4 linked regions of the Alligator mississippiensis genome follow. The protein of the gene in region 1 purifies or fractionates together with the protein of each later gene. This does not show direct contact. Links are inferred from orthologs where the notes say so. Each region holds a gene or a part of one and is shown on either strand. Other genes may lie near its edges.

Region 1 (7,208 bases):
TGTAGTAATTGTGGGAGTGGTGGAGATGTGTTGGCAGGTTTTGCATTTCTTGTCATGGCACAGTCTGGATTCTTTTGGTGTGTTCTGGGCTTGAGGTAGTTTGCTTCTGGTGATGAGGTTGGCGAGGTTTGGTGCTTGTTTGAAGGCTAGGATGGGTGGCTCTGGGAAGATCTTTTTAAGAATAGGGTCTCCTTTGCATGAGAAGATTTGAACCCACATTTCCAATCTCACAGAAAATAATTACCAGGACATAGATTATTTTAGAATAGGATTCTCTCAGTTCCTCTTTTTATACTATTTTGTGCTGTTTCACTTTCCATGGCATAACTGAATAGGAAGAAGGAAGAGAAATCAGGAAGCAGAGACAGAGAAAAATGGATAATGACTCCACAGCCCAATGATTAGGGCCCTTACCTTGGGAGTGGGTAATGTGGCTTCTAGCCTCTTCTCCTGAAATAAACAACAATGCTTCACAGTATTTTTTGGGAACAAAAGTGACTACGGTATACTTGCACAACATAAGTTAAATTCATTAAATTATTTTTTCTGAATTTTGAACATTGATAAGTAAATATGCACTGCCTTTGAAGAATAAATGGTCCATATTTAAAAAATGGAAAATGTCTCAGTCTGTCTAGTAAAAATACACAATTAAGATATTAATCTAAAAGCCTGTTTAATATTTGGGTAAAGACACAATAGTCTTTAAACCATGGGTTCACAAAGGGATAACCTACTGCAGTGGTTCTCAACGTCTTTAGAGTTCAGGCACCCCTTATGAGACTCATTTTCCCTTTGGAAAATGCCAGCTCTTAGCTTTTACTTGTTTTTTGACTACAGAAAAATACTAGAACAACTTTTCTGTTGCAAAGAACTCAGAAAGACAGCAAGTCAGAATGTTTACAACAGTATAGATTCCTGTTTGAAATCTCTGGGTTTATTTTGTGAATCATGTTTCACACCTAACAATGCTAACATTATGCAGCACCCTGCACCACTCCTGAAAGCATCTGAAGGCACATCAGGGTGCTCTGACATCCTTGTTCAGGATCGCTAGGATAATGGTTAGAGGATTTCTGCAGAAATGGGGAAACTGGGTTGCATCTCCTTCTCATCCTGAAGGGGTTCAAAGCCACATCTTCCACTTCCTAAGGAGGTGTTCTAACATAAAGCTAGGCTGGGATGTGGGAGGGGGTACTCTCCACCCCTTCTGCTGAATCCTTGCCATGGTTCAGCAAGGAATACAAGATTTATGAGACCAGGGAGTGGAAGAGTACAAGTGAGAGGGAACATGATTCTAGACATCAGTAATGAGGTCATTCACCTGGGTTCCAGTCCCTGCTTCCAAGACTGTTACTACAGCTGTCAGAGTATTATGTTAACGTATTTTATCCATTGATGAGAACTGAAGGTAGCCTCCTGACAGTTATGGTTCTTAAAAATCCCATGGCACTTTTCCTAAAAGTATGCATGTTAGCCATTGTGCTGTGGTAAAACTCCAGATCTGGCCAGTGTGTCCTGACTACCTAAAATCCTTGTCCACTTCTAATGGGATATAATAGTTCCTCACTACCATTGTTTTGTTCTTGAAGTTTTCAGACTACTTTGAGAGTGCAAGCCTTGTGCTCTTCTGAGTGTAGGAACTTCAGAACGTAGATCCCCTTTTGTAATAGGGGAAAGATACCTTGTACCTTCTTTCACTTATGTATCTGTGTGAGAGCATGGCAACAAATGGCTTAGAGGGTCTTACTATTTCCATTCCAGCTGACAACTTTGTAGCATTTCTAAGGAAATCTAACAGTCGAAAAAGCAAAGTAGCAATTGGCCAAGTACTGCATGTGTCAGGAATGCAAGAACATATGACAAATTATGTTTAAAAAATGGGGTTTTCAGATTTATTTGAAAATAAATACTGACAACAGGATTCTCACTGTATGGAGGGATTTTGTGAAACAAATAAATACTGTTCTGCTAGAAATGGCAGAAGGCTGACTGGGTGTGGTACACTCTCTCTTCCCCTTTAAAAATTCAGCTAAACTATCAGTGTTTCCCAAATAAAGTATCATTAGTCTATAAACTGTTTGATATAGGAGCTGTCTTACTTTTGCCTTCTCACAGAAGGAGGGTGTGCCAGAACCTTAAGACAACTCCCAAAGGGTTCTGGTTGAAACTTGATGTGCTGAAATAAAGAGCTCTCAGAGAGCTGGACAGCACAACTGAATACAGGCTAGGATGCCAGTACAGTTAGCCTCAGGAATGCCATGTATGTGTGTGACCCCTGCCTCCTATTGAATGAGTGAATGAAGTGAGCTATAGTACAAGTCTTGTGTTGCAAGCACTTCTGTAGTTCAACCTTGTCAGCTTCGTTTGTTTGACTAAGCTGCAGTGAATAAAAGAAAGGCAGGTCTGAAGATGGGTGGCAAGAGGTCCACAAGAAAACCTTTCATTTAGATCCAAACTATATGCTTTTATTTCCAGGTAGTATCCAGAATCAAAGCACAGCGCAGTTTCCCTTATTTTACAAAAGCCTTTACAGAACATTCCAGGCTTGATTACTACTCCACAGGGAACAAGTAAGTCTGACTCCAGTGTCCTCTGAGGGGAGAATGCTTTGCAGCTCCATCATCAGCTGTCTATCTGCACTTCCAGTAGAAGTATTTGTTTTAATAGGGTTGCAAATGAGAGGAGATGTAAAAACACAATAAAACAAAACAGTGGCTCATTGTCTGTGATAGAGCACACTAGGCACTATGATAGTACATGTAATACATCATAACAGGATTACATTATGTCAATTATATTTTCACAGCAAATATGGAAACTCCTGCTCAGATCACTTAGCTGATCTGTCTTGCAAAGTTTCACTCCTTTGTGCTCAGGCCAGGCTGGGTTTTAACGATGGGGCAGGGGGGTGGGGGGAGGAGTCCCCAAGTCTTCCCTTGGGAGACAATTTTATAAGCAAATACAGTTTGCTGGTAGGGAGTTTTCCCTGCCACTCAATGTAAATTTTCATTCTTCCTAGTTCCTACTCCTTGTAGCACCTGAATAATTGTTCACAGTTGCAGAGAGCACAACTTTCTTAAGTCAAAATTCCCATCTGAGAGGATGAGTCTTGCCTAAGTATAAAGAATGCCTGCTCCTTGCTGTTTACACTCCACAGCTCACCAGAGCACTCATTTAGAAAGGCTCAAAGCCTGGGCTGGTGCCCACTGGAGTCAGTGGCCAGGCTCCTGTTGGGTCCCCAGTCACCGAGGGTTGAGCCAGGAAGCAAGAGCCAGATCTTGGTCTCCAGACGTGCTGCCACGGTGAAAACCATCTTCTATTTATGAGCATCAAGTGCTGACTCCTGTGCACCTCTGGCTAGAACAACACCAAGCCCAACTAAAACCTGCATTTGCACCTTGCCAGGCCCTAGCAAATCCACCCTGTTCCTTCACCCAGCTCAGGGGAAAACCGCGCTGAAGAGCAGTTTCTGCTTGAGGTCTCTGCGCTTCAGCCCTGGGAGAAACGGCGCCAGAGAAGCGACGCTTTTCACTGCTCAGCCTGGGGCCCACGGCCCTTTCGCGCAGCTGAGGCCATACCCTCCGGGGCGTTCAGCCTCTACCTTGCGGAATAAGCAACCGCAGGGGGAAAGGAAGGGCAAGGCTTCAAGCAGACAAGGTCCTTTGGGTAAATCCGATATCTTTTATTAGACCAACTCAAATAGTTGGAAAGATTCTTCTTCCCAAGATTTTTTCCAACTATTTGAGTCGGGCTAATAAAAGATACCGGATTTACCCAAAGGACTTGTCTGCCAGTGCCGTTAGACCAGCGCGGCTACGCCCAACCCTTCCAGCAGCTTTCATGTCTCCGGGGACGCGCGCGGGCAGCGCCGTGTGCCTCTGCCCCGGCGCCGGCGGGGCCGCGCCGAGCAGGGCGGGCTGCGAGCGGGGATGCGGCGCCCCCTGCCCGGCAAAGCGCCGCCGCCCGAGCAGCCGCGGGGCGCGGGCGGATGGGCTCCGCCGCGCCAGCCAAAAGGCGCGAAGTCCCGCCGGGCCGGGCCGGGCGGGGCCGGGGTCTCCCCCGACCGCCACGTCCCGAGCCAGGCCCCCCCTCCCGCGCCCCGCCCCGCCCCGCCCCGCCCGGCGCCGCCGATTGGCTGGCAGCGGGCAGGGCGTGGCAGGCTATAAAGCCCGCGCCGCGCCGAGCGCCCCGCTCTCTGCGCTCGAACCGCTAGGCTCGCCCGACGCCGCAGCCATGAGCTTCACCACGACCAAGGGCTCCTCGTACCGCAGGATGTTTGGTGGCGGCGGAGGCGGCGGCAGCGCCCGCTCCAGCTCCAGCGGCGGCACCCGCTATGTCACGTCGTCCAGCCGCTACTCGCTGGGCAGCGCCCGGCCCAGCGCCGGCGTGCGCCTCTCGTCCACGCCCGGCGGCTACGCCACCAGGAGCACGTCGGTGCGGCTGCGGAGCAGCCTGCCGCCCGCGCGCATGCTGCACGACACAGTGGACTTCTCGCTGGCCGACGCCATCAACACGGAGTTCAAGGCGAACCGCACCAACGAGAAGGTGGAGCTGCAGGAGCTCAACGACCGCTTCGCCAACTACATCGACAAGGTGCGCTTCCTGGAGCAGCAGAACAAGATCCTGGTGGCCGAGCTCGAGCAGCTCAAGGGCAAGGGCACGTCCCGCTTGGGCGATCTCTACGAGGAGGAAATGCGCGAGCTGCGCCGCCAGGTGGACGAGCTCACCAACGACAAGGCCCGCGTCGAGGTGGAGCGCGACAACCTGGCCGACGACATCATGAAGCTCCGCGAGAAGTAAGTGCCCGGGGGGCCGGGGCAGGGCGGGAGGGGAGCTGAGCTTGGACAACAGGAAAACTTTCTCCCCAGGAGGGTGGGGGAAAGCGCTGGAGCGGTTCTGGGGTCTCCATCCTTGCCCCTGGCTACGCAGCAGGGGGCTGCACTAGATCAGCGCTTCTCATCCTCTTGTACAAGGGCGCGGGTGGCCAGTCCCGACCCGCTGCCCCTCGCCCCTGACCTTCTGCCCTAGCCCCACAGTTCTGCCAGCCTGGAGGGAGAAGTTGTGGTTTCACACGTTTTCTCCTTTAAAAGAACCCATTTTTAAAGTTTACGCCTGACCCTTTCATATATTCTTGCTGGGTTGCAACCCACGGGTTATGAAACCCTGAGGTCCCTTTCAACTCTAATGTTCTGTGACTGTAGCCCGGCCTCCAGAGAGAGGTTTCCCTAGGGCTGTGGGGTGAGACCTGGGGCACCAGATCTTGGGTCTTCAGCCCCACCCTGAAGGGGGAGGCTTGGGCGGATGGGCAGGCTAGTCTGTTTCCTTCCTTTACCAAAGGAAAGTCGCTCCTCCACAGCTTGGGTTTCTGCAGAAGGCAGCTTTCAAGCAGCCCAACTTGGAGTCAGCCACTTGTTGCATCCCTTGAATGAGTTGTGATGCTCATGTCTGGTTTTGGGACAGTTGTGTCAACTGGAAGCATGAAAAGCCTAGTCAGGCTGACTTGGAAAGGCTCTGCCCCCCAGGGCAGTGTAGGCATGGGATGCTTCTTAGCAAATGCTCCATCTCTCCCTCTGAATGGGTGTGGCTCCACTCAGGTTTTACACCAGGGGCTGGTGGCTTCCTCCTTGCATGGCTTTACCCCTTGTTTATGTTCCTGCTTTCAGGTTGCAAGATGAGATGGAGCAGCGAGAAGAAGCTGAAACCACCCTACAGTCTTTCAGACAGGTTTGTCTCTCTTGTTTGTTTGCTTTTTTCCCTTCTCTTTTCACTTAAATGCGGGGCCCAGCCAACCTAAATTGAAGTGTATAAAGCTTGCATAATACATAAGTTGGATGAAAAGCCACCTAGTGGTAAAAAAGCAGACTGGAAAAGCTGTAGACGTTCATATGGATTTTTTTGTTTAGTCTTAGAGCGTTTTTGGGGGAATTTTTGGTTAATTTTTTTTTTTTAATCCAGGATGCCAACATGCTTTTAGGGTTAAAACTCAGTTATACAATAATAAACTTGCAAGGTTATTTAAAAAAAAAAAGTATGTAGGGGTTATTTTGGAATATTTTGCAAATGATACAGCTTAATTAAATTGAGTGGGGGGGGTTGTTTTGGTTGTTTTTTTTATTAAATAAATTGGATTAGTAGAAGTCATCTGCATGACTAGGTATGGCATGCCTGATGTATCATAGGTGAAATGTTAGTGTATAAATGAGATCCCAGGACTTTGTAGAGGCTTTTGTTAACGCACAGAGGAATTCTGTCAGTAATCATGTAGATTCTGCTTGTTTTCTTTGGGCCGATGCTGTTGTCTCAGGGGGAGGGGAGAAACTATTGTATTGTTTTGTTTTTTTGCTTTATCCAAGTCTAGCCTATCTTACAAAAGTGCCCTGATGTGGAATCACTTTCTGATCCAATAAGGGTGAAAGGGAACCATCTGCTTGCTTGGCTGAAGGGTATTAATGGTTTCTATGGGATTCACCATGGAATGCAGATGCAGGCATTATGGCAAGTGTAGTGGCAGCAGATTGAAATAATAGAAGTCTTTGTATTCAGGGGGACTTTCAACAGGCTGCATTCTTATCGGATGTGTAATGATGCAAGCATATTTTAGAGGCATCAACTATTTTCTGTTTCCCAGTCTCAAAGTATATAATACAGGACTCCTTCAGAAGACTTGACTGACCTCATTTCAAACTTCCAAAGCTTTTGTTCCAAATTAAAATTTCCTATCTGCTTCACAATCTTGGGGGGTTTTTTTTTTGTGTTTTTTTTTTTTTAAGGGAAGGGTTATAATATCAAGAGCAGACTAACTGGTTACGGTGTTGAAACTGGATTTTCTATTTAATGTAGAGGTTCTCAAAGATGGTGTGGGGGAGCTGGGGGTCTGAGACAGGAGGTAGTCAGCTAAGCTTCAGAGTGAAATAATGAGGGTTACCTGGATACCTTTTAATTACTTTAGCAAGAAACTAACCTTTAATTGACCTACAATATTGAACTTTTCAAATAGTGCAGGTATTTCCAAGTAGCAAGCTTGCAAATAGTGGCTTGCAAGCTCAGCCTTTCTGGTGGTTATTTTAAATTTAGTTAATTTAAGATGAAAGTGCTTACCTTCTTTACATGACTTCCTAAAGAAGGTGAGGAGGAAAGGCAAAGTTCATAGTAGTTGAATACAATCCTGTAATAGGGACTGGGATCTGGCTGGAGGCAAAGCTGTT
Region 2 (7,075 bases), on another chromosome or scaffold:
TGGCAGGTAAAGACTTTTTGACTTCATCTTTGCTCAGCTCTTCACCTTCCAGTGGCTTGTGTTCCCTTCTGTGCTAGAGTCAAAGTCAATGATCATATTGTCTTATGAAAGAAAACCTTCCTTATACAGAGAAATCTGATTCCAGCAAAGTAGTTTTATCGGATCTTATGGGACATTATTTGCAAGAGTATTTCTTCCAGGTGTCTCCAGGTGGAATGGCTGTGGTTGGAAGACACACCTCTCTTTGTTTAGCAGAGGAGCTGAGTTTCCAGCTCAGACCAGCCAGTAGATTCCTGTTGTTCAGATTTCCTGAAATGTCACTCTCTGCAGATTAACAAATTCATGCCCAAATACATGGCAACAGTCCCACTGAACGAAAGCCTCAAATGCAACATGTCCAGCAGGCTACGTTGCCTTGCTTCTATCAAGTGAGCCGAAACCCTCCCACACTGTGACACAACGGTGTCATCGCAGCGGCGACACGTCTGCCATCGTATGGCAATGGATCTAGTGACTGCAGCATGCAGATAAGACTACACCACCTCAACTATTATTACAGAGCAGCATCCCAGCACTTTCAGGCCTGGCACATAACTGAGTACATAACTGCTGAAGCACAGCACCTAAGTGCCCTCAGCACTAATACACGGCTACCTTAGATCCCTCTGATCTATTATAGTTGAACACCCAGCATCCTCCAAAACAGACGAGTATCAGTAGGACTTCCACCAGATACAGCAAACAATAAACTAATCACATATCATTCCCAGCAAATTCTCTTTCTTGATACAAACCAGCTGAAAGCAGTTAGTATTTGATTTTAACATCACAGTGACCCCACCATCTGGGGAGTCTATTGCTGTTGGAAAACACTAGTACAAAATAAAACCCCTATTAAATTCAGATTACATCAATTCCTTTCTTTCCTAAGGGAGCTCAGAACAATACTGGGAAATTTACATCCCAAACTGGACCAGAATCCCTAGTACGCACTGCTCCTCAATGACATTTTGTTCAAATGGCGCTGCTGAAATGTGGTACCGGTGTGCATGCAACAGTACAGAAAGGTTCAACAACCACCTTAACCCTGTTTGTGGGTCTGTACTGACACTTTCCACAACACGCTTTTCTTCGTCCTTGTCCCCAAGGCTGAAACTCCCTTGAACACCTAAAGCAATGGAGCCCATGCAAAGTGATGCCAAGGGGCTGGGGTCCAAGCCCAGGCTGCTCTCCCTAAACATCCTCTGTAACCTTCAACAGGTCATCTCATTTTCTAGGCCTCAGTTCCTCTTCTCAAAAATGGAGTTACCAGCACTTTGCTGCCCCCAAGGGAATTGTGAGGACGTGTGCTTTAAATTTGCAGGGTGCTCAGATAGGACTCATACAAGGCTCTAAAAGGGACGAGTCAAAATTGGGGAAGGTAACAAACTGACCAAAGCGCGAGCAAGATCACAGGTTCTTTTCATTTCCAGTGCTCTCCGGGGTTATCCCCAACAGGAGCAGATCAATTCGATGGGAGCACAAGGCTTATATGGATGGCACCCCCTTAAGTAGACCAGATCCTTCTCAAACTGTGGAAGCTCTAAAGGGTTAACAAGGCTCCCTGTATCCTTCCGTACCTTGTGTGCCAGCAAAGATGAGTGCGATAGGATTTATTTTGTTTCATAAACAGGAGGTGGAGCCTTGGCCAAGCAGCTGCCTGGGAGATTTTGCAGTTTAAAGGTAACAGTGGGGATGACGGGGGTCTGAAGACACAGGAAGGGTGCCTGACAGTGCCAGGCCCCATCTGTGAATGCCCTGAAACATCAGTGGGCAGAGCACGTGGATAGAGGCAGACACCCAGGCTGGGAGGCTGATACATAGGCCAGGGCCATCAGCAAGATGGAAAGGCTGCAAAACTAAAGCTAACCGAGGGCAATGTCTTGTGGCACTGCTGCCACACCGAGCTCAGCCAGACTTGCTTTCCAAAAAGGTGAGGACGTTTGAAGGCATGACAAGAGCGCCTGGAGTTATGAGACAGGAGCTTCTAAAACTCCAGGCTTTTGGAAGGCAAAGGAATCCTTCTGCTCCCAGGCAGGAGGCCAGCTCTGAGCGAGGAGGGCAGGGCAGGCAGCCCCACGACAGCGTGACTTCCACCTTCCTCTGAGGCAGCTCAGCCAGAGACCGGATATTTGACTACATGGATTTGATCCACTATGGAAACTTCTACCCGTCTTGTGTTCCCATAATTTCAGTGTGAAGCAATCCACCCCTAGCTGACACCCAAATCACAACCAGAGAGATGCCCAGGCTCCAGGGAATGCAATCCTGACCCATGACTCCCTTGACCTCATTGGAGTGATTTTCTCGCTCCATAAACTCATGCCCGGGCCAAGCACAGCCCCACTCCCTGCAGTTCTCTGGCCAGCAGCTGTACTGGCTATAGGGACCCTTTCTGCATGCATGCACCCCAGCCTCCTGCCTATAATCACATCTAATGCTTCACAATGTGCAAAGGAGTGCAATGGACAGAGATTCGCATTCCTAGACTGCTCACTGCTGCTCCACAGACTACTTCAGGGGATGATGCCACAGGCTTTTGAAAGGGCCCGAAGCACCCTGCAAATCTAGAGAAGCAGTAAAGCATGCACCATCAGCAACCCAAGGAATCAGAGTGGTATGGGGCTACCCAGCCCTGCCTCAATTCCAGAGTCTTCCTCCCAAAGTCCCATCCCACCATCTCCAGCTTGGCAAATGGAAAATTCCCAGGCACTGGCAAAGCATATTACCCACTGCTCACCCCCCGTCATGAGTATAGTGCATGCAGCTAGGAAGCTCTAGCCTTCCTCCTGGTCAGTATTTCAGGCAATGGCAGCTGAGTGTTACCTGATCCCAGCGCTGCACCCATATTGCACATAAGAAACTAATAAATAACTTAGTACCATCTATAGCTGTCACTCTTTCCTGCTTGACCATACTGCCCAGTCATGAGCCTCAGCATCCTCCCACCCTCCCGTGACACACAGAGGCACTATCGCCTCACTTTACGAAGAAGGACATCGAAAAGCAAAATGTGACTGGCCCAAGGTCACACAGAAGGTCTGGAACCGAGCCATGATTACAACCCTAGGCTGAATCCTTTGGTCTGTGCTGCCTTCAAGGCCAAATCCTCAGACTGGGAAGGGCTAAGCAACTGGAATAGCAGGGGTTAAACAGGGCAGGGTCCCCTTTTGGACAGGAGCATGTTATAATAACAGACAAGAGGAATTTAATCAGGCGCACAAACAGTAATCAGTTCACACTGGTGTTGACTGTAGGATCCACACCTCTCTCCAGCACACCAAGAAGCGGCTCTGCTACGGAAACGTGGCACAGAACTGTTCAGCCCAGTTCCACGTGGGCCCAGCAACCCTCATTCGTGCCCCAGCCATGCCCAGCTCTCAGCCACTTACGCCTTGGGGAGATGCTCCAGGCTCTCAACAGAGCCATGTCAAGGGCATGCAGCTGGTTCACAGGCCTCAGCAAGGAACAGCAGCATGACTGGGCTGTTTTATTCCCTCCTGTTCAGGTTCTTAAGCTAAGCCCATCCCTGTTATATCCAGGTCCCTAGTTTTTTTGGGTTGGTTTTTAGCCAGATCAGGTCCAAATCCATTTGAATCGTCCAAGAACCATATGTGGTCCTGCTACTGGCAAGTATCCTCCACCCCAGCCTGAGGCTTACTTCCAAATCCTTTGGCGGGCATCCTACGTGCAGGCCCAAGCCCAGAGACTTGGGGTTTGGATGCCCCTGAGTTTTGCTTGCCCTCAGCCGTATGGCTGCAGGAGCAAGCTAGGGAGGAGTCTCCCGTCTAGTGCTGAGGGAAAGGCTGGGGGTACGTGTCATGCTGGTAAGTCTCAGAAGAATGTGATGGGGAACGACAGCCCTTTCTCAAACATCCCTAGGGAAAGACAACTTGTGTTTCCTCGGCTGTTTCCATCCTATCGCACTGTGCTCCTCCAAGCAAACACCTGACTGAGTGTTGACAAAAAACCAACTTCCCACATCACACGCATCCGGAAATGAATGCCCAAGGAGAGTGCAAGGGGAGAAATGCTGCGCCGTGCACCTGGTTCGTGCTCTCCTCCCTACAGAGGCCAAGGGAATCTCGGCCCCACCAAGGCAGGGGAGACATCATCTGGGGACAGGAGCAAGGACACTGCCCCCAGCACTTGGAGCAGCACTGCACTGCTCCTACCGCGCGGCCACACGCCAAGAGAGGACACCCATGTTAAAAAGAACAGCACCGCCAGGAACGCAGCAACACGCAACGCCAGGCAGAGGCCTGCAAGAGGAGTCTCCATCCCGGAGACGAAGGGCTGAGCCTCCAGCAGCTTGGCTTCGGCACGTAGGGTAGGTGTCACAGCTGCGTCTCCTCTCCCAGCAGGCCAGAAGCATGGGCTTGGGGCACCCATCTCTAGCTAAACTCTCACTTCCAGGGTTGATGCCCCGACGCCATGCCGGAGTCAGGGGGCAGAGCATGCCCCAGGATCCTGCACGCAGTGCCCCACGCGCCAGGCTGCCACGGAGGCAGGAAAGGCCACGCCGGCGGTGCCCGAGTGCCATTTGGAGACGGAAAAAGCTGGAGGAGCTCCAGGTTCCTCCCGGCCTCTGTGACCTTCTGACTCAGTGCGCGGGAACGTACCCAGCCAAGCGGCAACATCCCCGTGGGGGGGGTCGGAGATCGCCCCGCGTCCCCGTGCCCGGGTACCCCACTGGGCAGCGACAGGGGTGCCCCTGGCAGCAAGGAGCCCCCGGGGAGGCGCCCGCCGCCCGCTCACCTTTGCCCTTCTTGCCCCGCTCCTCTGGTCTCTTGCCCTTGGGGGGCAGGTCCCCTTGGGCCGGGGGCTGCGAGCTCCTCTTCTTCTTCCTCCGGCCCCGCAGCCAGCTGAAGGCGCGGCGCAGCCCGGACGAGCCCGGCTTGGACTTCTTCTTCTTGGGGGGGCTCTCGGCGCCCTGGCCCTGCCCGGCACCCGGCGCCCAGGTGCTCTCGGCCCCCGCAGGTGCAGCCATAGCGGGGGCAGCCCCAGCCCCAGCCCCAGCCCGGCAGCGCGGAGGGAGCGGCCGGGAAAGTTTCTCCCGGACGGGCGGGCGGGCGGAGCCTGGAGCGCGCCGGGGTGTGGAGCTCAGCCCCGGCCCGCACCCGCCTCCAGCCCGGCCTCCCGCAGCCAGGTAGGGGCGGGCAAGGGGAAGGGGAAGGGGAAGGGGCTGGGAGCGGGAGAACCGGCCACGGCTCCGGCTCTGCCCCTTCCTTCCCCCGCCGGGATGAGCCGGCCGGCTCCTCCCTCCTCTCTGCGCTCCCGGCCCGGCTTGGATGCGCGGACTTCCCACGGGCGGCGGCAGGTCTGGCTCCCGGGGACCCTGGGCAAGAGGAGGGGGCCCCATGTTGCAACATTTTAGGGACCCCCTCAAGTGTGGGGCTCCGGGCGGTCCCCTAAGGAGGTAGAGCGGGGTGGGGGGCAGCCGCTGGCTGTGCCCGCCAGCCCGGGAAGGACGGCCTTGAAGTGGGTCTCTCTGCCTAGGCTTTGGGTTCTTGCAGAAAGGGAGGCCTGGCAGCTAATGCCCCCTACCCATCCACCCCGCTGCCCGTCAGCGTGGTACCTAAGTGCCGCTGGATACTGCTCGCTTGACCGGTTCTGCGTGACCTTAGGCAAGGAGGAGGTGAAAACACTTTCAAAGGTGCCTTCTGGGGTTGTCACGTTGCTTAAGCAAGGATCCTAGAGGGTTAAATGTTCTCCAAAGAGATTGTGCTGGGTGGATGCAGTTTATCTGTCTGTAGATAAAAGTGGTGCATGGGGATTCGGGAAGAGACACCACTTGCTATTTCATGACTGTTCTCTCCCTTTATTGCAGACAGCTTGGTACCAGACTGGAGGTCTGCAACTCCACGTAGTCCAGAAGCAAAGTGGAGTTAGCGTTGTCACCGCTGACAAAGCAGTAATACAGAAGGCACGCGAGAGCAATACCGAGGAATTGGGGGTTCGGTGCAGCTGGGGTTGGTCACTCTCAGCTGGTCATCTGGCCCTAGGCAATGCCTTGTGCCGGGCTGTTCGTTTATAATCAATCTGAACTGGAAAACAGCAAGGTTCAGTAACGGGCTGATGCAGTTTCGCTGGCCTCTGCTTATAAAAACAAGCAGGTCCCAGAGGCAGATCAGTCCGTAACAAGAATTTTGTTCCTCGGGTGCAAAGAGCCCACACCCAGCAGCACAGAGCAGTTTACCTAGGCTGTGTATTTCCATCAATGTCATAACAGGCTGGAGCTAACTCTTCATATACTGTGATGATCAGAGCCCCATAAATCCTTCCTGTGGATAATGTATAATCCCAGACATACGTATGTACAGCTCGCGTGCATCCACATATTGACTGATAGCCAACTGCTACCCAATGGAGAGAGAAAACATTTAGAGGGATGAGGAATGTCAGGGCAAGTTACCAAAATAAGCTGGAGTATGAGTGTTGTGTACAAGAGCCAGCGAGAGGGCTTGAGTCATCCTCTGCTCACAGCATTTCATTCATCTCCTAATGATGCTCTGAAGACTCAGAAGGAGCTGTTATGCATCCTGTCGGTGCTATTACTCCGCAGATCTTTGATGGGATCCATTGCAGCGGCTGGCAACGTGTCTGCCAGGCTGCAGCTTGGAATATTACTGGCTTAAAACAGACAGGGAGGCTACAAACATTGCAAGCTAAAAAGCTAATTGTCTTTTTTTGCTATAAACACATTTACGTTACCGGGCAGGTGTGTTTTCCAAGCAGACGGACTGCAAAACTGTTCTCTCAAATACAGTCTTTTTTTTTCCCCCTTAGAGGATCCCAAAAAGCCTGTCCAAGACATAAATGACTTTGTCGACTTCTAGACATGGCTAGAAGTACTAAAACCCTCACCCTCTGAAAGCTCGGCTTTCTCTCCTCTAGGCTTCCCAGAGCAAGGCCATCTCATTCAAACCGAAAGCTTTCTGAGGCAGAGGCTGTTTGTGTTTGTGTGGCTTGCACAAAGCTGAGTGTCTTAAATAAATAATAATGATCCTGGAATGGAAATGTGGATACTTTGCAT
Region 3 (7,698 bases), on another chromosome or scaffold:
CAACAATGCCAACTTTCATTACCTACTAATTAAACTTTCACATAAACAGCGCTTCTCTAAAGCTTACCATAAACATCCCCCAAAGCTACCTCATTACCCTCTATTAAATTATACTTTGAAAATATCTTTTGCTGCAATGAGTATAAAACATTTAACAGTTCAGCTGCTTTTGCCATTTCCTATCATGCTGACCAACTGTCTCAGTTTCCTTATACTTCCTATATGTCTGCATACTTTTCTACCATCTCATAGTAGCTTAGACTGCGAATTCTTCAGGGCAGTTCTTCTTAAAACTGCCCTTTAGTGGGCTGAACCATAGGTTCATCTTCCTAAGTATTTTGTGTCACAGTGGAAGAGTGGATGCTGAAAGGGAGAGTGAACAGAGCTATGACCAGGGTTTTTCCCACTGTTCCTCTCTCACTTGCAGCCTCCAGCATTTAGTGTCTAGGAAATGCTGATTTAGAGGTTGTACCTGTAACTCTCATGCTCAGTAACTACTAGATGCACCTTGCCTCCAACAATCTGTCCAACTGCTTTTCAAATCTGGCTAAACTGTCAGCGTCCACAACATCTGATGGGAAGGACTACTCTTTTGTTCAGAGTGTGTGTAGTAGCTGGATGAAAACACCACTTGAGGTACACTGGGAAGAGTGGTCTTTGGCAAAAAGGTATTCACTACCAACTGCAAACAGACCAGCCTGAAACTGTCACAGTTCAAACTCTGTAGAGACGCCCTATTTAAAAGCTTCTATAAATTCACTTGTCCCACTGAAAACTTTGAACAGGTTTTCCCCCTGAAATACTATGATTTTTCTGTCAAACTACCCCCCCTCCGGATAAAAATGCACTCTTACCTTAACTGTCTCCTCTTCAGAGGCACTGGCTGGAGCAGGTGGTATCGTACCTCCCATGCTTTTTAGGAAAGGAGGAGGAATAGGGAGAACAAAAATTAAAGACTAGATTAATCAAGTACAGGCCTTTCAGCAGGATTTGAGCTTAGAATAAGAAAAGACTGTCCCAAAGGTAGAAGTAAAACCAAACTATCACTGTTGTCAAAGTAAAAGCACTGAACAAAAAAGCCAGGCACCCTTCCTTTAAGTCTGTCCTATAGTAGCAAGTTAGTTCTAACTCAGTTGGCCTTTCTGTTTTAAACTCCCTATTTTACACTACCCATTTTTTTTTCAAAAAGAATATCTGTCAATCTGCCTGAAATTGCTTGTTCTTTTCTTTGATCTATAAACAAAGTTTGAGTAAAGAAAGCTGAAAATGCTAACTAAATTTTATCTAAATTACTTCAAAAAAAGTTAATAATTTTTACTAGATTTAAAAATTACTGAATCTTAATATTCACAAGACAATGCAGGCACAGAGAAAACTAAAGAAAATCTATTACATCATCACAGCATCTAAATGTTCTTCACCACTGGTAAGAAAGACATGTTGTTTATGTTGGCACAGTCCCTTTAACAGCACAAACTGTTCTACTGCATTAAGACTCTAGATGAGCAGGGTTCGGAAAGTACAGCTTAATAAAGATCATTAGGGTAAGTGGGTATGTCCTCTAACTACTGGAAAGCACTGCATGCACCCTTGGTAAATTAAGTCACTCGGTGTATGCTATATCAAGAGTTTTGCATTCTGAAAACGCCTTAAAAAAACCCAACCTAGATATAAGTACTGTACACTTGACAACGTTCCTACTAATCTTTTCTTCCCTTTCAGAAAGCAGCTACAACTTCTCCACTAGCTGTTTCTTCAACTCTCCTAATAACACAAATGATCAATACTGTACTGATGATGAGTACAAACAGGCATAGTGCGTGGCCTGCAGCCCCGAGAGACTCCTGTTCTACATGCTCAGAAAACCTAGCACTTGAGTTCTAAACAGCTTGACTGTATAATGGTTACTGGCACTACAAATAGTGCCAACTTGGACACTACCCAGAACTTAAGAGCATTAGATGGATACATATGGATCTTAAGCGTATGTCAGTGCTACTCTAAAAGCTTAACAAGAGGAGAAAAGTGTTTACAAGACATTTTTAAAGACTGCCTCATCTGCTCAACCTGAGGAGGGACTGACGACACTATTGTTTTACTCTAAGTTTTTCAATCATTAACCCCAAAAAGCCAATAAATGCAGACATGAAACCTTGTATTATCTGCAAAATGTGACTTAAGACCCCCAAGCAAATGCCCACACACTGAAGAAAAGGCAAGTTTTCTGTTTTCATATGCGGAATAACCTCAAACTGAAATAAATACAAGATCCTGAAAATTAAGGATTTTTTCTTGACAATATCAGAATACTGTATTTACTTGCGCATAACCTGTGCCTTCCCCAACAAACAATTGGGGTGCATATTATGTGAGAAATACAGATCTCTGTGGGTCTGGAGATCTGGTGTCAAATTTCCAGACCCACAGGGAGCTCCCCCCACCACAGGTGACATGGCCTCACAACACTGGATCTGACTGTCATGCATGGCTGTTCCATGGCTGACCCTGTCACACAATGGGTCCAACCCAACAGGCCTGATCTGGTGCGTGGGGCTGACAGCAGGCATGGCTCCCTAGTTGTTGCTATAAAGATTTCTTTTTCTTCATGCTGCCTTCCAAATACAGGATGCATACTGTATACAAGGGCATGTTGCATACAAGAAAATAAGAGTACGTCTTTAAAAAACTCTAACAAACAACCCAATGAATTCTGCATACTTGTACATCTAAACATGTAAAGTGAGGGTTTGATGTTCATTGAGAAAGTTTCTTGCATTCAGGAGTTTAAATGTGAATGTTCAACTTGAAATAATCAGTTACAAAAGCAAAAAAAAAAGATGATCCAAACAGGGGGGCCTGATTAAGATGAGTTGTTAACTGAACTGCTGCAAAATGAGCATTACAGTCATTTCCCCTACGGTGCCTTCGACACCTAAGATAGCAGTCTAAGACATTCTACTTGTTTTTTTTTTTTACAAGTATGGGCTTTTAAACAGATACTAAGTCTGACAGAATAAAAAAACATGAACTTCCTCCTTGCAGCCAAGCACTTTCCCTGCACTCCCCATATCTACACACAGAGTGATTCTAGCTGTCAGGACTCAAAAGACACTCTCTCTCTGGTTCTCCAAACTCACCAAGCCTGGGTACAGCTGATTCTGATGGGGGAGGGGAAGGGGTGGGATACAGAGATATTCACTGTGAGAAACACCTAGGCTAGGTCACTTCCAATCCAAAATAAAAACATTACCTGGAGCCATAAATACAGTGCACATGTACAGCAGCTGCCTGGTCTTAGGAAATGGAGGCTGGTTGAAGCAAGGGGTTCCACATGCATGTAGCAAGAGGCAGTTGGTGTGCGGTGCTAGAGCAGTGGTTTACAACCTGTGGTCTGTGGACCCCTGGGGGTCTGCAGACTATGTCTAAGGGGTCCGCAGAAAGTGACTGATTGATCAATCAAAAGCAAGTGAATGCCTGCACTTACAATTCAAAGGGGTCCGTACCTCCAGTCAAAATTTCCAAAGGGGTCCTCCAATAAAAAAGGTTGAAAACCACTGTGCTAGAATGTAAGAACTACCATTGACGGGGTCAGACCATAGATCCCTCCTGCCCAGGCTCCTGTATTACCTGGCTCTTCAACAGATTGCAAAGAACCACTTCAACAGACCAGAAACTTTCCAGTACTTTGTCAGAGCTGACCCTGGACTCCAGCTGCGTTTTCTAACCCCTGTAAAGGAGGTCACATGTAGCCTCCTGTTTTGGGAGACTGTACTCACTCCTCGCGAGCAGTCCCACTAGCCCCTTGATGAACACCCTCCAATAAAAAGGCCTGTATGTCACACAGTGGCAAAGAGAGGCTGAAAAGGAGAGTGAACTGGGAATCTTGGACTGCAAGTCCCCAGTGCCCCTCACTCCCCTGCTCAAGAGCAAGGGATGTCCCCTCCCCCGCCAAGGACAGGCTGGAAGCTGGCCAAGCCCCCAGCCAGCACCCGTGACAGTGTCAAGGCTCCGTGAAACCCAAGGTTCGCTCACTTGCCCGCCCACCACGTGTGGCCTCGGGCTCCATCCCGGGGCAGGGCCGAGGCAGGCCACCGCCAGAGGAGCTCTGCAGCTCCCCTACCCCCACGCTCCCGGTTGGTGCAAGGAGCTGCCCCCTCCTGGAGCCCTGCGGGAGACACAAAGTCCTTGTTTCCCTCAGTCTGAAGCGACCTCCTCGCCTCGCGGGACGACCCCTAGTCTTGACCCGTCTCACTCCCCAGCCGCTCAAGACTTGGGAGCCCCTCCTGGGCCGCTTCTTCAAAACACAGCAGGCCCCGCCCCCCCAATCCCCTCGGGACTCTGGAGCGCAGACGCTATTCCCTCCGCCGTGGAGGGGGTGAGCGCATGCGCAGCGGCGGCCGCCCCTCGGGAGGACAGGGGCTTCCCGGCCTCACCTCTCGACCCAGTCGCGCAGGAAGTGCAGCTCCTCGGAATGCAGCAGCGCCGGGTTCTCTTTGCACAGCTTCACGAAGGAGCGCAGCTCGCTTAGCTTCCGCGGGTCCATGGCGGGCCGCGCAGCGTGCAGTGCAGTGCAGCCCAGCGCTAGCCCCTCCTCTCCGCTGCCCGCCCCGCACCGCCTCCCCAGCCCCAGCCCCTGACCCACCCCCGCCGCGGCCCCGCCCCTCGACCCCGCCGCGCCGCTGCGGCCGGAACCTTCTGGAAGCGAGGCGCCCGGAGCACGTCCCACTTCCTCCCTCAACGTCATCAACAACCGCCCTACTCCAATCCAGGCCCCCACAGTGAGGGCGGAGCAGGTCGTTTTGCTCTACGCCGCTTTTTTTTTTTTTTTTTTGACAGGAGATTAGCGCCGCCACCTCCTCCGCTTGGTCCCCGGCCGAGAGGAGGCGCTGGCGGATGACGTCATTAGCCAGCGCGGGAGGCCCCACGCGGTGCGCGCGGGCGGGGGGGGAGCGGCGCGGGAGCGGGTACTTCGCGCTATGGCCTGGCTCCCGGGTCAGAGGTGTCTCCCGGCCGCCCGCGGCTGGCGCAGCCGAGCAGGTCAGAGCCTCTGCTTCCTTCTAGGCACGGATGCCCCCAGCTTGGCCCCCACTGCCCACGTGGTGGGGGCGGCGCCGGTGCTGCCAGGTGCACGGTCATGGTCGGATTTGTACGAACGTTTACCCCGTTGTACGAACAGTAATAGTACAAGCGTTCAAAATTGTAGGATCATTTTGGAGGCAGCTTAGGCACGCAGCAGGTGGAAAACCTAAGTCACTGGCAAAACTGACTCTCGGGTTTGCTGTGACGGCTCACCTCAAGATTAGGGTTGCCAGCTCTCCAGGATTGCCCTGGAGTCTCCAGATATAAACCTCCAGGAGACTGCAGAGAGGCACCCAGGGGATGAATGATAGGGCATTCATTAAAATAAATATTAAATGTTGAATCTGATTTATGCAGTAGTTCAGTGGGTTTTAAAAATTTAATAGTCGTGTATTTGCCTTCCTGACCAAGTCTGTGCGCTGTACTCCGTAACATGCAGGCACATTCGTATTGTGTGTCATGGGCACGTTGGCATTCCCGAAACTTCCCAAAATAGATTCAAACAGAGTTGACAGTCCTACTCAAGACACAGAAATGCTTAGACTGTGATGACCCAGCTCTCACTCACTGGCAGCTTGCAGTGAACAATATAAAGTAAAGAAGACGATTTATTTATGTACTTATTTGCATAGTGTTTCAGCATGTGATAGCTTTCCAGCAAATATGATAATTTTGTGCTTACAATATGATAATTTCATATTTAAGACCCGGCAATGCTGCTGCATGCACCTGCCCTCATTGCCATCACAGCAACTCGGAAGGAGTCATGTCTGCGTGGCTTCTCCTTCTCCATCTTTGCAGCAGGTCTTGGTGTGACCCTGCCAGGATCAGTGCAACCCCTTAGACCTGTGTGGGAAGGTGGGTGTCTTTGCAAACGTTTCCCAATTGGTGTTTCTAGAATGTCTTACATCAGGACCGAAGTGTTTGTAAAGCGGGGATATAGTCCTGATGCACCAGAAAGGGTGCAAGAGGCAAGGGTTTCTTAGGGGAATCGCTGCCCTTGGGCCAACCACAGGCAGAGCCAAGATCTTGAGAAGAGGGCTGCGCAGGGTGCAGTGCATTGTTATGTAGAACACAATGCACATTTTTCTCCTGTAAAAAGAAGCTGTAAGCTTTACTAATATGCCAGGGGTCCAAGGGCTGCGTTTTTCTGTTTAAGATGAGAGCAAAAACAAATATGATTTTTGCAATGTGCATTAATTTGTTGTCGTATATAACAGGCAGAAGTGCACTGATACATCAGTGGCATATCAAATTGGCAGTGATAAAAGGCAAATTAGCATTGTTGGTAATCAGCTTTTTTGGCCAGTGTAGTCGATAATGTGACCATTAAATGCTGCGTGCATGCACACAGACAGCTTGGAGAGCAGCATCCTGAAGGTAATCCTGCTGGGGAGGAAATGGCATGGGGGAGGGAAGGGGCATGGGGGGACGGATTGAGGCTCCCACAAGGCCCAGCCAGGGCAGTGAATATGACCCTTCCGGGACAGAGCCTCGGGCAGCTTGTTCAGGGGGATGGGGAAGGGGGTGGCTTCCCACCACTGCACTGCACCCCCAGGGGAAGCAGGAGAGGCATATGCCCCCCTGGATTTGTGTGCAGGGCAAGGGTGGGCTGCCCACTGAGGACGCAGGGCCAGGGGCTGCTCCAGCCTCTTTCTGGCAGGGTGCTGAGCACTCAGGGCTGGAGGGGGTGGGGCAGGCAGTGGCAGTGCTGGGAAGGGTAGCTACAGGGGGGGCTATGGTGAATTTTGGGGTGGCCATAGCCCACCCTGTAGCCACCCCTCCCAGTGCTGCTACCTGCCCCACCCCACCCACCCCAAATGCAGCCGGGAAGAGGCTGGCACAGCCCCTGGCCCTGAGCCCACAGTGGGCAGACCACCCTCACCCTGTGCACAAATCTGGGGGGGCACATGCCCTGCCATGCTACTCCCAAGGGTGCATGCAGCGGCGGGGAGCTGCCCTGTATCCCCTGGACAAGCCACCTGCAGATCTGTTCTGCTCCTGGCAGGGTCGTATTCACGGCCCTGACTGGGCAGCGTCTGCCCTTGCCCCACTCCCTCCCTCACTGTGGGGACCTCAGTCAGCCCCCATCATGCCCCTTCTCTCTCTCTCTCTCTCTCTCTCTCTCTCTCTCTCCCCCCCCCCCCCCCCCCCCCCCCCAAGCTTCTGGGCTGCATTCCTGTAAGTCGGCTACTGAATCAGTATTGGCCCATTATGGCTGGTTAATAATCAACCATTGGTATCAGCCAAGAAAATCTTTATCAGTGCACCCCTAATAACAGGGGCAGACAACTCCCAGCACAGGTGCTAGAGTGTGCAAAGGCATTTTGCTTGACACACGCACCTTGGGGCAGATGGTGGGGAAGGAACCAGGGCTGCGTTGTAACAACAAGGATCAAGCCCCTGATGCCTCCCTGTTGTCTGTCTCTGGCATGCCGACATCTTACAAGTCAAGGTTATGGGTGTTTTTGGCACTCTGCCCCAAAATGTTGCCAATCCCTAACCCAGTGATTTGATGTTTTGGTCTTCCAGGACTAAAGAAATAAGTTCTGTTTTCATTGTAACTAAAGCATACATACACATTTAGGAATCTTCCTAATAATAATTATTATTATTATT
Region 4 (7,829 bases), on another chromosome or scaffold:
TCAAGTTGCAGTAAGGGAAATTTAGGTTAGATATTAGGAAAACTTTTCTCACCAGGAAGGTGGAAAAGCACTGGAATGGGTTACCTAGGGAGGTGGTGGAGTTTCCATCCTTGGAGGTTTTTAAGGTTTTTAAGGCTCAAGTTTCCATCCTTGGAGGTTTTTAAGGCTCGACAAAGCCCTGGCTGGAATGATCTAGGTGGGGCTGGTCCTGCTTTGGGCAGGGAATTGGACTAAATGTGACCTCCTGAGGTGCCTTCCAACCCTCGTGTTCTATGATTCTGTGATCTCAGCACTGGCCTTTGTTGTTTTAAAACTATGTGCACCACTGCCAAGTGGCTGAGAAAATTTTACCAATGAAGCCGTAAGTTAAATACCATTTTTGTAAGTGACACAGTAGAAATGAAATGGAATACTACAGTTAGTGATTACTTCCATTGTTGGAAGAGTTCCCTTAAAAAAACAGACAATTTTTCTTTATCTGAAAAGGCATATATGTATGCCTACAGTTTATCTATCTATAGATATATACATATCTTTTATTTATCTATATCTATCTATATAGATAGATAGATATATAGATATAGATCTATATATAGATATAAACTGTAATCTTTAAAGTTTGCTGTCTTTCATGTAAGCTGGATATAAATCAGCTTTGTACATAACCACCACTACAGGTTTTCTTTTAGGAATTCTTTATCCATAAGACTCCACCTGTAGTGAAAACTCATCAGTTAATCATTGACTATGGACACATGAACCAATATATAGCACATGGGATTCTTAATCCAGCCAGCTTCTTAGGAACTAACTCATATTGTTAGGAGGAAAACCTGGCATGGGAGCGTCTTTCCCAGGAATGAATCAAGATTTGTTTATTAATTTCTAAGGAAGCAAAATGTGCAACATATGTTGGAGTGGAAATGTAATGACAATTTATTCTATGACTTTTTTTCAGTCCTTCATCTGATGGCCTGCTCTATGCCTACTTAAAATGCACAATGTAGGAGGGATTAATATGTTTTATATAGTCTTAAAATGAGTATGATAACAAAAACCTGTAAGTTCAGTTAAGAGCCACTAACCAACTGAAGGTGTAATCCATGTACCACTGACTTGGAAGAAAAATGGACTGGACCATAACTCTTTAAATTCTCTGTCTGGCTGGAATGAAGACTAAAATCTTTCAAGGAGGTGCTCTAGCAATCTTCAAGATTCATCTTATAAGATGGTATTAGGGTATACGTAGCACCCTAATGTGTGGGCTGACAGTATCAAGTGGGTGTAGGTTGTTTCCTGAAATGAGGTAGGGCTCATTGCTTCCTTTGCTGTAGCAATTTGGCATAAATCCGTGCCTGTGAAAGGGGTATGTGGTAATCAGTTTACATCACAGTGACTTGTTTCCTTGACATTCTTGATGAAGACTGGGACGAGAGAGGCTGATACCCCTTTGGACTGGCAAGAAACAGGAATAGCTCTGAGAAACCAGTGAAGTTATACCAGTGTATGTGAAAAGAGAATCTGGTCTAATGACTGCAAATTGAGGCAATGCTAATGAACTAGTTCAAATAACCTTAGAAGACAAAAAAAAAATTACTGTGCAACAGAACAGGTCACTAGGAATATTTACATCCTGTAATTGCTCCCAAGATGTTAAAGTGACCCTTGTAACATCCTGGTACCAGCATTTATGTGACTCATCAATTAAAGGAAAGGTTTATTAAATTGAACAAATGAAGCACAATAATTACTTTATTCTACCGGAAGTGGATATTAGTTGTTACACCTGCTCTTATTGCTCTACATATAGAGTGGGAGGGAGCCGGCTCGTTGTTTACTAGTTTGAATTAAAACCAAAACTACAATTATGTTTTCATACATCATAATAGCACACACAGGTGCCAGTGAAAACAAAACAAGCTCTTCCTTTTTAGATAAACCAGGCCACTCAATGACAGCTTTCAAATTAATTTATTAAGAGCATTACTTCCTTGGTTATGAAATTCCCAAAGTATTAGAAATAGCAGGTGAAACACATGACCCCTTAGCCAATACTGTGGTGTACTAACTTCTTTCAACCTTTATCACGCTCAAAGGGGCTTGAGAACTATCCCCAGTGACTCGACTGATCCCAATGAACGGAGGACACTCAGGACCTTGTACGATTATAGCCAAATCAGAAGCATTTTCCTTTCAGTCTTTTAGACTATCTATTTGTGTATGGTTTGTATTGCACTTATCATGTTCTATGAAGTATTTCCCGGCTGGTGTTCTGTGAAAACGTAGTCTCTTTTATTCTTATGCCTTTACAATTGTTATGTTATACTAGACCAATGCTTTTTAACCTGTGGTCCACGGACCCCTGCAGATCTGCAGCCTATGTCTAAGGGGTCTGCGAAAGATGACTATGATCGATCGAAAGTATGTGAATACCCACCCTTACACCTCAAAGGAGTCCATGTCTCCATTTGAAATTTCCAAAGGGGTCTGCAGCTCCATTCAGAATTTTTTAGGGGTCCACAAATGAAAAAAGGTTGAAAACCACTGAGCTAGGCATGAAAATTATTTTGCACATCTGCATGACTTAGACTGTGGTTATACTGTTCCTGTTTGGTGAACCCCCTATTCAGTAAAGCGCTTGCATAAATGTGAACCTCAGTGTTGTCTACAATGGGGTTGTCCAGATGCTTAACAGCTAAGCACTTGCTTCAGTGATTTTCTGTATCAAGGCTTATGTCCCAGTGATCTCCATGTAAAGAACAAATTGTTGCAGCCTAGCACTATTTTATGGATCTGAAAGCACAATGTTGTCCTTGCAAAACCACTATTTATTTCACCTTCGTTATAATTTTAAAACTATTTCACTCTAATTGTTCCAGTAACAGAACTACCGAAGCTGTCCCCAATCTGGTTAGGCCTTACACATTATAACATACCGTATTACATAACATACATATTATAACATACTATATTAATACAAAATGTTAATATGAATACAACTTTCTTTTACAAATCATGTCCATCACAGACTAAGAAAAGTTGAGAACAAAACGAACCCACGCTAATGCACAAGAGGGGATCAAGCACGATGCAATTAGGATAAAGCAGCATCACAGTTTTTAAAGTGTTTCTTTTCAGTGCCAAATCACAGGTCTACTCTCACTCAAATAGTGAATGCTATTAAACAAAAGTTAAAACAGCTAGGAGGACAGTTCCTTGTGGGCAATTAAGGCATACTAATACAAGGCCTAAACATCTTGAGTACAATCCTTTTAAATAAAATCTTTATGCCTGGAAAGGACTGGCTCCGGTTCCTTTCTGGAAATATTAGCCTGGCAGATGCTTCCACGAAAAGAAGCGCTGTCCAAATGAATCTCACTTTATTTCTCATTTTCTTTTCTTTTTTTCCTACAAGGATTAGCTGGTCCTGGGCACAGAGACAGAACGGTCTAATTGAGGTCAGCGTCGAGGCACCTTGGCAGGAAAACACAGGGAAGCTCGCGCTGTCGGTATCTATGTTGTATCTTTTCTGTAGTTGAGTAAAAGACCATTTTCCCCTCTTCTCTCTACCAGTCCTGGCCACCCCGACTGCCACCTTCCAAAACCTGATTCACGTTTAAAGAATACAGGTTAAAATGCTCGTTTGTTTTTTTCCTACAAGGATTAGCTGGTCCTGGGCACGGAGACAGAACGGTCTAATTGAGGTCAGCGTCGAGGCACCTTGGCAGGAAAACACAGGGAAGCTCGCGCTGTCGGTATCTATGTTGTATCTTTTCTGTAGTTGAGTAAAAGACCTTTATTCCCCGCGCTCTACCGGGCCTGGCCGACCCGACTGCCGCCTTCCAGAAGCTGACTCATGTTTAAGGAATACAGGTGACAACGCTCATTTGTTTTACAAACTATAAAACCATGTAGCTGGAGCGGGATGCCTCGTCGCAGGGCTTTTACGGAAGAGCGGAAAGCGAGCACCGTGGGAGCTCGAGCGCCGTCACCTCGCTTGGTGCGACGCTGCCACACGGAGCCAAACCGGTCTCAGGCCTCGTGTAAACACACGGGCGGACTCGATGGTAGACAACAGGCTCAACAGGTAGCACGGCCCCACATGCGACGTTGGGCACACCGCGTGATCCTGGCACGCGTGGCCAAGCGCAGCTCATGTGGGGCCTGTTCCGGTGTGCGGGGCCTCATCCCAGGTCCCCAGGGACCAATGCGGGGCCAAATCCTGGCGTATGGAGCCAGGCGGCTGTGGCACGGGGCCTGATCCTGGCGTGAGGGGCCTGACCCGGGGCCCACCAGATGACACCATGCTGAGGCCCTAAACTAGGAGGCCCCACGTGAAAAAACAATCCACGAAAACGGATTTTCGTGGAACTTGATGATGAACAGCTGTTATTTCCGCACACCTGTGTGGACTCAGTGCGGGCGGGACCAAACACGTCTCTTTTGTCACGTGAGAACAAAATTGGTCAGTGTTTTTTCCTCCTTTACAGCCCCCTCACGCGGGCGGCGCACGCAACAGCTCAAGGCCGGGATGCGGGGGCGGGGCCGGGATGCGGGGGCGGGGCCCGATCGAGCCCGGCCCTGAGGCGGGGCCAAGGGGGAGGCCGGGGCGGTGGCAGTTAGGAGGCGGTTGCGGGGGGCGGGGCCTGGGCGGTGACTGGACAGAGGCGGTTGCGGGGGGCGGGGCCGGGGCGGTGACGGTTAGGAGGCGGTAGCGGGGGGCGGGGCCGGGGCGGTGACAGTTAGGAGGCGGTTGCGGGGGGCGGGGCCGGGGGTGGGGCGGCCGCGCGGGGAGATGATGTCAGGCAGGCCGGGCGGGCCGGCAGCAGCAGTAGCGGCGGCAGCAGGAGCGGCGGCGGTAGCAGCGGAGGAAGAAGAGGCGGAGGACGAGCAGGCGGCGGCGGCGGGATGTCGGCGCCCCGCGCCGTGTCGGACCCGCAACACGCGGCGCGGCTGCTGCGGGCGCTGCGCTCGTTCCGCGCCGAGAGCCGCTTCTGCGACGCGCACCTGGTGCTGGAGGGCGCCGAGATCCCGGTGCAGAAGAACATCCTGGCGGCCGCCAGCCCCTACATCAGGTGCGGGGAGGCCTGAGGGGCGCGGGGAGGCCGGAGGGGGCTGGGCCCGGCAGGCCGCAGGGAGCCCCTCCCCGGAGCTGTCGTGTCCCTGTGTCCAGGCGGCGCGTGTGGAAAGCCACTGTGCTTTGAGAGGACGTCGCGTGTCCCTGGGATGATGCTGCCGGATTGCGCCGTGTGCGACGCCCGCTCGGACCGGTCCTGGAAGCAGCGGTGCGCTCCTGGACGCGTGTGGGAGACACTATCTACATGTGCAGTGACTGCGACTCAATTTGAGCCGGAGTAAACTAATCCCAGCGTGTGTTTGAGTGCTGCTGGATACCGCTTGTATCTGGCGGGCAGCACGGTTTGTTTGTCTACTGCACCCTCACTGCCAAGCACGTGTAGAGGGTGTCGCTTTAGTGCGTGGCAAATTACTCCGCTGCGCGGTAAAGCCTCTTGTGTGGAGGGTCCCTGCGCGGGGAGGGCCACAGAGCGGGCGTCGCGGGTGCCGGATCTGGTATCGAGCAGGGCAGGGGAGGTCTGTGGCTCAGTCTGGCCCATGGACCACCCCCAGCATGGGCAAACCGGGTGGCCTGGACAGAGAGGGTACCCAAAAATGGTAATTTTAAAAATTATTTTTATCATTATCCCCAGCCAAAGGGGGTCCAATACTAAAAGTTCACCCGGCGCCGCCAGGAGCCTTGGTACGGTGCTGAATCCCGGCCTGCAAGGCCAGACCTAACCTGATCTAAGAACCCCTGATCAAACACTATTAAAAGCCAGATTTAAAACAGCAAGGCAGGGAAGTAAAGCTGAGTGGATAATAGTGGGATTATCGGATAAAGAGCTGTGTCTCAACACTAACTTGTTTTGTTTTCCTGGTAACCTGTGTAGATTTTGCACGGTGCTCGCAGGACAGCGCACGGGTACCACGCAGCCGGCTCTGCCTGCCTTCGGCCTGTCAGGCACCGAGCAATGTTAGCATTTTGGGTTTGGTTGTTTTGCTTTTTGTAACTTCATCCGACAGTTTGACTCTGCCAGAGTTTGTAAACTAGTCATCTTGCTTCATTATTGGTTTAAAGATCAATAGAGCTGGATTTGGCATTAGATAGGCTCATTGTTTATGTTGCGGATGACGGCTGCTATTTTGTTTCTGGCAGCATGTGAGCTTCCCAGGGAGCGTTCGTGGGTTCTGAAGTACATCCATTTTTAACTTTGTAAATTTGATTGGGGCATCCAAAAGCTGTTTCTGTCTTCATGCTGACCTTTGCAGCTCATTTACCTTGACAGTAGGGGAGATCTACTTTGGATCTCAGTAGAGATACAAAAGCCGGCGTAGGCCAGGGGAAAATGAGCTGTTGGTAATGGGTGTCAGCAGCAGGTGCAGCCAAAATTGTGCTGAGACCAGGGACCAGCAAGTGCAGGGAAGGACACAGAATATGCAGCACAATCGTGGCTTCTGAATTGGTGTAGAACAGAGTTGGTCCTGGGCTGCATGTGCATTTAAACCTCTTCACTAATGGTTCTGGTTCAGCAAGTGCAGGGGAATTTCTCTAGTGTGATCTTGCCCCTCGGCTCAGGGTCACATCGACCCTGTATTTGGGGTCAGGAAGGAATTTCGCCCCGTGGTCAGATTGATACGGACTGCTTTCTTCTGTAGCAGGAGGCATCACCTCTACCCGGGACCTCTTGAGCTTATTTTGACAACGTTTCATAGAAGCAGGATGTTGGTTGCTGTGGTTCACCTGCTTTACCTGTGGCAGGTTAGGGTGTTAGTTCTACACTGGTGATTGATGTCAGTCTTACATAGAGCTTAAATTATGGTTGTATGGGATGGTGTGGATAGGGATGCTCCTGCCTCAAGCAGCGAGTTGGACTAGATGACTTCTGGAAATCCCTTCCAGCCCTAGTTCTTCAAGACTCAAAGCCGATGAGTCCAGTAATATAAAATAGTCAGATTATGCCCCTTCTTGATGTATTTATGTTACATGATTGAGGGTGAGTACATGGATTAAAAACAATGAATTTCCATAGATTACTTTGTAAAATTTAAAGGATTTTTCTGCCATTAATAGATGGAGCAACTCTCTTTTTATTTTTTTTTAAGTGGAAATATACTTCTCAGTATTTTTTTTATTATTATTATTATTATTATTTAAGTAAATCCCAAAACGGTAATAGAGCCCTGCTAATATTCTGAGATGTTCATAGAGTCAGGCCAGTTTCACTCTCCCTGCACAAGTTGTCATGAAAACCTGCATAAATTGAGCTAGATATGGGTGAGGTGTATATTAAAGGACTCGAACAGTTGTTGTGTGAACTGGGATCCATCAGGCAACACTGCTTGGTTTTAGACTTCAGATTGCTTGACTTTAGGTTTTGCAAATTGTTCCAAGTTGTTATGTATAATAAACAAACACTCACTGAAGAGGAGCACCTTGGCACAATACTGTTAACACTTCATGTGCCTGTCAAAACTTCACTTAATGCCCAAGGGGATACTCTTTGCACTGTCATAAATCAGATATGCTGTCTTATTTGAACGAAGGAAAAAGAGGTATCACAGATGCTTTACTGCTCAGCGTTCACTATGTTTATGGCAGTTATACACACCTTTTCAAATAACACAGCAGCAGCTTTCAAAGGTCTTAGTGAAAACTGAATAAACTATACAGAAAGAAATATCAACTTGGTAGTTAACTTCTAAATGTGGCTTTGTGATTATGTAGTACCAGAGAGTTAAAAGACATATTCCCTAACCTGTTTGATGGCCAG

The links.
Region 2: the proteins of VIM (region 1) and SYNC purify together in Homo sapiens (affinity purification with mass spectrometry; 3 studies listed by BioGRID and IntAct, counting the BioPlex papers as one, with this or other methods). This does not show direct contact. The link is inferred for Alligator mississippiensis from reciprocal best matches to the Homo sapiens genes VIM and SYNC.
Region 3: the proteins of VIM (region 1) and XPNPEP3 purify together in Homo sapiens (affinity purification with mass spectrometry; 3 studies listed by BioGRID and IntAct, with this or other methods). This does not show direct contact. The link is inferred for Alligator mississippiensis from reciprocal best matches to the Homo sapiens genes VIM and XPNPEP3.
Region 4: the proteins of VIM (region 1) and GAN purify together in Homo sapiens (affinity purification with mass spectrometry; 3 studies listed by BioGRID and IntAct, counting the BioPlex papers as one, with this or other methods). This does not show direct contact. The link is inferred for Alligator mississippiensis from reciprocal best matches to the Homo sapiens genes VIM and GAN.

Annotation. Positions count from the first base shown.
Region 1 is NC_081828.1:181,330,044-181,337,251, forward strand, and holds the start of VIM (vimentin), read left to right. Parts: upstream 1-4,190; 5' UTR 4,191-4,236; coding exon 4,237-4,799; intron 4,800-5,666; coding exon 5,667-5,727; intron 5,728-7,208. UniProt on the Homo sapiens protein: Vimentins are class-III intermediate filaments found in various non-epithelial cells, especially mesenchymal cells. Vimentin is attached to the nucleus, endoplasmic reticulum, and mitochondria, either laterally or terminally.
Region 2 is NC_081829.1:5,341,741-5,348,815, forward strand, and holds the start of SYNC (syncoilin), read left to right. Parts: upstream 1-4,062; 5' UTR 4,063-4,369; intron 4,370-4,797; coding exon of another isoform or gene 4,798-5,029; intron 5,030-5,118; exon of another isoform or gene 5,119-5,188; intron 5,189-5,205; exon of another isoform or gene 5,206-5,359; intron 5,360-5,387; exon of another isoform or gene 5,388-5,695; intron 5,696-5,869; 5' UTR 5,870-7,075. Other genes in the region: NHSL3 (uncharacterized protein KIAA1522 homolog), read right to left, coding at 4,798-5,029.
Region 3 is NC_081827.1:97,768,080-97,775,777, reverse strand, and holds the start of XPNPEP3 (xaa-Pro aminopeptidase 3), read left to right. Parts: upstream 1-4,680; 5' UTR 4,681-4,976; coding exon 4,977-5,037; intron 5,038-5,784; coding exon 5,785-5,937; intron 5,938-7,698. Other genes in the region: ST13 (hsc70-interacting protein), read right to left, coding at 855-912, 4,434-4,543. UniProt on the Homo sapiens protein: Catalyzes the removal of a penultimate prolyl residue from the N-termini of peptides, such as Leu-Pro-Ala. Also shows low activity towards peptides with Ala or Ser at the P1 position.
Region 4 is NC_081833.1:70,096,587-70,104,415, forward strand, and holds the start of GAN (gigaxonin), read left to right. Parts: upstream 1-4,828; 5' UTR 4,829-4,908; coding exon 4,909-5,075; intron 5,076-7,829. UniProt on the Homo sapiens protein: Probable cytoskeletal component that directly or indirectly plays an important role in neurofilament architecture.